Arabidopsis thaliana: one gene and its partner. The protein of the gene in region 2 interacts with the protein of the main gene of each other region in a pairwise test. Each region holds a gene or a part of one and is shown on either strand. Other genes may lie near its edges.

What was found. Proteins that work in one complex are often made in the same cells at the same time.
Region 1: the proteins of RTM3 (region 2) and RTM1 interact in a two-hybrid assay, tested with the Arabidopsis thaliana proteins (one study listed by BioGRID).

Annotation. Positions count from the first base shown.
Region 1 is NC_003070.9:1,723,218-1,726,182, forward strand, and holds RTM1 (Mannose-binding lectin superfamily protein), read right to left. Parts: upstream 1,318-2,965; 5' UTR 1,296-1,317; coding exon 1,017-1,295; exon of another isoform or gene 898-1,016; coding exon 580-897; 3' UTR 517-579; downstream 1-516. Other genes in the region: AT1G05770 (Mannose-binding lectin superfamily protein), read right to left, coding at 2,330-2,665, 2,815-2,965.
Region 2 is NC_003074.8:21,590,885-21,594,955, forward strand, and holds RTM3 (RESTRICTED TEV MOVEMENT 3), read right to left. Parts: upstream 2,055-4,071; 5' UTR 1,953-2,054; coding exon 1,846-1,952; intron 1,771-1,845; coding exon 1,604-1,770; intron 1,514-1,603; coding exon 1,287-1,513; intron 1,139-1,286; coding exon 734-1,138; 3' UTR 525-733; downstream 1-524. Other genes in the region: AT3G58360 (TRAF-like family protein), read right to left, coding at 2,621-3,025, 3,129-3,355, 3,640-3,797, 3,876-3,982.

The DNA of each region.
Region 1 (2,965 bases), on a different chromosome or scaffold from region 2:
ATCTGGGTGTATATCGCTATTTAAACCTGCTGAATAGAGGCCACACAAGGATATGGTGCTCCCGTGTTTTGTAAGCTTCGAATCCAAGCTATGTGGCCTTGGCGGCCGTCTCCTCGTGCTAATAAGGTAACCTGAATCTATGTGCATTCTTCTGTGTCTTGTCATGTTATGTTGATGTTATTGCTGGTTACTGTCAAGTTAGTAAACAGTTCAATAACTCCCACATTTTGCAACACTTTGGTGTTCTGTTTGCGTGGATTTTGTGATACCTTGGGGCATTTTCTAGCATTTGTTTACCTAGCAGTGATCATAGCACAGGATTGATTCAGCGAAATGCATAGGCAGTACAACATCTATAAGACCTGCTAGCTTGAGTGTAATTATTCCCAACAATATCCTTGTTAATGCATTTTTCGAAGATAGTGAGTTCTGTTCTAGGTACATCTGGTATTGTTAATGTTGTATCATAAAGGTTAAAGTATTTTGACGATTATATGTTACACATATCAGTTTATTCATAGAAGAATTTTCATAATTAAGAATGTACAATCAGCAGAATAGAGTCGTATACAAACACTTTCAGCCCAGTACAATTTTTGACTCTGTTTCCTCTGCATTGCCCGTATCTATTTTGGGTAGAACTGTTTTTGGGCGGAGATAAACACCAATGTACTGTAGTCCCGAGGCATCATAAGTCCCATGGAAACCGCCGAACTGAGGAGATTTCCCGAGTTTAAAAGCAAATTTGTCGTTGCTCGAACCGGAGGTGCCAAAAGGACCGTACTCGCTAGTGTTGGTATTGAATTTGAGAGACCTCATGTGAGGATTGTTGGCTTCATACTTGTAATACTCTCCACTGATTCCAGTTATGTACTCATGCGGATAGTTGAGCTCTATCTGCTGGGTCCAAATCACATATTAAGTTATAAAAAAAAAGTTATAACCATGTTCTTAGCATTTTAGTTGGAAGTAGAAATTGTGACGGAGAAAAAAGAAGAGTCAAAAATCAGACTTACAACGTCAAACATGTTGCCGGAAAATGGACCGTGACGATCGGATAAAACGAGTTTTCCGTCCATCACGAACTGGAATTGGATAGACATAATTCCAGCGACGCCATGAGATAGAAAAATCTGAGAGATGAAGCCATCGTGAGATCCTTCGTCCCAGTTTACAATTGTAGTGCTTCTAGCATCATGCTTCCCTACAGGTCCTATCTTCATTTTCCCTTTCTTTTTTTTTGTACGACCAAAACTCAAAAGCTCTTTTGTTTGGTTACATAACGAAAATAGCATAACATTAATATATATACATGTAGAGATTCAAAGTTCTCTAACTCTGAAGTCTCAGATTGGAATATGCCTATCCAATTTGATATTAGTAATTCATCTTACGATTCATTGTTTTATTGCATTTATCTTTGCTTCTTCTCTCCATTACCCAATTTGTTTTAATGAAATGACTAATAGATTTGTTACTAGAGATTCTTTAAGATAATGTTCTTATTTTGACGCCTCAGATTGGAATATTCGTTTACAATCTTGCATAGCTTCATCTAGCAAATTATTTCCTTTCTTTCATTTGCTTTGACAAAGAGTCGAATTTTGAAAGAATGTATTGTCGGATGAAAATTATGTAATGCAATGATTATCTTAGTCTGTTAAAACGATTTACTACGTTGGTCGAGACATAAGTATAGTTTTTTCTAATGTCATTACAATTTCAATTGTATTTGGCTGTTTTTAAAGACAAAAATATTCAAGTTTTATACACATATTTAGACTATATGTATTTAACTCAAAATAGGGTTTTATTTGCACGCCTCAGTAGTCATGATTAATAAGTTATTTATATACATAAATCTTGCAGGATAATATGTATTTATTTGAATGTCTCATATTAGAATTATTTCAAAGAAAAAGGATTCTAGTAATTATTAAAAAAACTTGGTGCGGAGGATTCTAGTAATTTTTGATTAATACATTTAAGAGAATTTTAAATTAGCAAAATGTTTTTCCGGATGGAGGTTATCCCAAAAACATCTTCTGATAGAAAAATAAATCTGTGAGATGTCGTTGTTGAGACTTGAGAGTTGAGACCATATGGTCCCTATATTGAGGATTAATTGTGTTTGTGGGAAAATATATTCCCTGCTGGGCAACGAGGAATATGGTTGAACCAATGATTATTTATATGCTTAATGCATGTGTATATATTTACAGACGCATCACACACACGTAAAGTAATTTTATTCATACAAAGTTCGAAAGATATTGATATAAACGCATGTAGAGGCTGAAGAAGGTTTAAGATTAATACACAATTTCATTTAACCCAAAACAATGTTTGACTCAGTTTCCTCTGCATTGCGTGTACCGGTAGGTTTAACAATTGTTGGTTGGAGATAAACACCGATATTTTGTAGTCCCGAGGCATTATATGTCCCATAGAAACCGCTGAACTGGCGAAATTTCCCTAGTTTGAATCTGAACTGTTGTTCGTGATTCCAAATCGAAGACTGAGAGCTCGAGCCGCCAAAAGGACCGTACTGATTAAGGTTGGTAGCAAATGCAAGAGACCTTATCTGAGGGCCGCTAGCGCCATCGGACTTGAGATACTCTCCACTAATTCCTGTTATGTACTCATGTGGGCAGTTCAAAAGTATCTGCATAGCCCAAAATCCACATTTTAATTTATATTAACCATGTTCGTGAGATCAATATATATAATTAAGTACATTAAGTTGTTGTTAGTAAATTTCGAATCTAGTGATTCGTGTACTAATGAAGAAAAACAAAAACAGAACACACTCACAACGTCAAACATGCTGCCAGTATTCTGACCGTGGCAGGAGGATAAGAAAAATGTATCGTCGAGCATGAACTGGAACTGGATAGAGAAAACACCGGTGGGACCATGAGATAGAAATATTTGAGAGATGATTCCATTGTGACTTCCTTCATCC
Region 2 (4,071 bases):
TACGCGTTCCAAAAAATAAATACATAAAATAGATTCGTTAAATCAAAACTTGGATTAAATAATTAAGATGCGTAGATAATTCTGATAAAGTAGTACGCACGCATTTTCAAAATAAAACTTGCAAAAACCTTAAGAGTAAAGCGTTAAGACTTATTTGATACTTGATTCACAAGTAACGACGAGAGAAACCTAAAATCTCCAACACAAGGAAGGTGCTGAAATAAGGAATGGAGAAGTAAAAAGACTAATGATTTATGATTCATGCATTCAAACAACATCCCTGAAACTAATTCGAACTTTAGAAGCCAAAGCGGCAGCTTTCTCTTTCTTAAGTTCGGATTCCAAATCAGACAAAGCCAGCTTTCGCTTCTTGATCTGTTCCTCGAGTTCTTTGATCCTGGGACCACTAACTCTCTGTTACTCCTTCTTCAAGTAAGCCTGAAGCAACTTCTGACGCAACCAAACCACTTTCAAGCCTGCTCTAGTAAGACCAAAAAGCGTATTCGATATGCAAGTCATTATGTTGAATTTGTTTTGAGTAATATAGATTCTATACTCTCTATATATGATCAACTCTTTACAGAAATCAAGAGAGTTACATTTTACAACATTGTGGATATATACAACACAGGGTCTCTTTTATCTTCCTAAGTTTTAAGAGGACTCATTAGCAAGAACATCCCACAACACCAAGTAAAACCAAACTCCAAGTGTCTTAAAAACACAAGAAGCATCAAACAATATCATCGAATGAGATAGGAGCTTTTGCAGTCGACACTTTTGCCTTCTCCTTCTCAACCAGAGCTTCCATTTCTAAACACTTCTGCTTCATGTCCTTCAACTCTTCCTCCATTTCTTGCAGCCCAGTCTCACTAGCCTCCTCATTCTCCTTCTTTTCTGACACTTCATAAAGTTTCTTCTCCAACCAATCCAGTTTAAATCCAGCATCTCTCATGGATCCCAGTGCATCGTAAGCATCCAACAGATCATCCTTTGACATTTGCTGAGGTAACTGGCTCAGAGTCTCAATCAGACTGAGTAGTAGACTCATGTAACCTGTCCTGAGATTTGGGTTCTTTGGACGTAAATCAGATGCAAGCTCTGGGTGTTTTGCAAACATACGACTCACAGATTTTGCCTGTGAGTGAAAAAGGTGAAAATGAAGTAGAATGCATATCCAAATAGAAGTTCCCGGAGACACCACAAAAGCACCATATCATAGAACAAACACATCGTGTTTTCTCTCGTGGATAAAATTTCTACACAAAATGATGTTATTTTCTTACTTGTGAAGGAAGGAGTTGAAAGCCATTAACATCCACAGTTTCCGTGATTGTTGAAGTTTCCTCTGTCACATCTAATTTGCCAATAGTTTCAAGAACTTTGATCTCGACAACAATCTTAAGTTCCCCGTTTAACAGAAATCCGCTATCTTTGGCATGAATTTCATTTAGGGGACACATGGATGAAAGACCCCAGTTGGTAGTCTTCTCATCAAACCACTGTTCTAGTTCTGTAAAATCAATCACACACAAAAAAAAATAATAATAAAAAAAATTAGAGAGGAACTCTTGCAAAGCTAGCAGTGGTAATAAGTTCTTACCATTAAGTTTTGACTGAGAGAGTTTATCTGATAATTGATTTACTAGAGTTAGACGAAATTTAGTGTGTCTTCTCCATCCAGAAGGCAGAGAAGTAGGAACAGCAACACCAAGAAACAAGGACAAAGAATTAGCATTATTATATCCCTTGGGATAGGCCCGTAGATGCCTGAACAAAAATAAAAGAAAACAAAAGATATCAAGGAAACCTAAAATAGACTAAAAACATAAGAAAAATTCTTACCATTTGCAGCCACCAACGACAAAATGATCAGAATAAATGAGGTCAGATAGCAAAGAGGCGAAATTTTTAATTGTCCAAGTGATCTTCTTATCGAATTGCTTCCCCATTGATACTTGGTGAAGCTTCCTCTGCAATCAAACTAACAGAACATTTAAAAAATTAAAAAGCAAATCAAAGAAAAAACTAGCACAACATGAAGAGAAGAAAACCCTTGGAATCCAAGCTGAGATCTCAACTAACAATATCAAGCAGCATATCTATATATATGGTTTCGAAGCCTCAAAAGTTTGATGATTTGTTAATCATTTAGATTACGTACATGAGGGATACGAATCGCTTGCGGATCCTCTTAGGGTTACTTGGAGCATGGGCAACCTAGATTCTGTCTTTGGGGAAAAGGGATAACTTTTGAACGAATCTTCTTTCTCTTTCTTTCCATCTCGATGAGATTCTTCTTCTTCCTCGTTCTTATCTCGACCATATTCTTCAGACTCTCTCATGTCAGCTACTTCTTTCTCCTCTCAATTTATTTCCCTTATTTTCTCTCATGTATTTTGATTTTGGTACTTTTTTTAGACAAAGCTGTGATCATATTTTTTTTGTCATCATAACAGTAACTCAGATATTAAAAATTTGTAAAAAGAATTTTGATGAAACAATGATAGCAGAAACTGTTCCAAAAAGGTGAAATAACGTAGCAGTTGTTAATTTATCTAAACAAAACCACAATGCAAACGAACAGACCAAGGAGAATAAAATCTCTATCTCAAAAATATTAAAAAACATCATTGAATGATAGAGGAGATTTTGCAGCAAAGACCTCTGCTTTCTCCTTCTCCAGCTGAGCTTCCAGGTCTAAGCATTTCTGTTTCAAACTTTCCAGCTCTTCATTGATTTCCTGCATCCGAGTTTCACCAGCCTCCTCTTTATTCTTCTTTTCTGATATCTCAACAAGTTTCTTCTCCAACCAATCAACCTTAAATCCAGCATCAGTTATGGATCTGAGTGCAACATATCCCTCAGCTAGATCAACCTTGTTGAGCTCCTGAGGCGACTGGCGCAGAGTCTCAATGAGACTGAGTAGCAAGCTCATGTAACCTGCCCTAAGATTTGGGTTCTTTAAACGGAATTCAGATGCAATCTCTGGGTGTTTTTCAAACATATGCCTCACAAAGTCCACCTGAGAGTTACAAAATAGAATCCATAAATATTGAACACATCATGTTGTCTCTTGTTGTTGAATATATTCTACACAAAACGTTAGTAGCATTCTTAATTTTAACCTGTGAGGGAAGAAGTTGAAAGCCATTAAAATCCATGCTTTCCATTATTGTTGAAGTTTCCTCTGACACATCGAGTTTCCCAATAACTTCAAGAACCTCTATCTCGGCAACAATCTTGAGTTCTCCATTAACCAGAAACCCGCTATCTTTGGCATTGATTTCATTTAGAGGAAACATGGATAGGCGACCCCAGCGAGGAGACTGCACATCAAACCACTTTTGTTCTTCTGTAAAATCAGAAACAGAATTTATATAATCACTCCATTTACGTGCAAACAAAGGACTAAATGAATTATATATGTTTCTGTGGATTGAACAACAATGCTAACAACTAATACAACAGTAACACCATGATCCCACACAAACACCCTTGAGCAACATTTAACTCAAGTCCCAAAACGAGTCTCACAAATCACCACTCACCAGATATACGATGTAGCAAAACAAAATGTTTGTGTTTGTGATCATTAAAATATATTTGGAGAAAACAGTAGTGAGAAGAAATAAGTACCATTTTGTTTGGAACGTTTCACCGAATTTTGATTTACTACATTTAGGAGATATCGGGCATGTCTTCTCCATTCGGGTGACAATGATTCATAATCAGCTACTTCCAAATACAGAAATAAGTAATCAACATTATTTCCCTTGGGATAGACAAGAAAACGCCTGCAAAAATAAAGTCTAATTAATAAGAGAGTCAGCAAAACTGTGTAGAGGATCAATCACCGAAGGAAAACGCCTTACCATTTACATCCACCGACGATGAATGGATCAGAATAAATTTTCTTTGAATGTAAAGATGAAAAATTCTCGATAGCCCAAGTGATCTTCTTAGCAAGTTGCTTCCCCATTGATCTTGGCAAAGATTATTCTGCAACCAAAATACCATAACGTGAAGAGAAAAAAAAAACCTAAAAAACTTTTTTTTTTCTTGAATTAT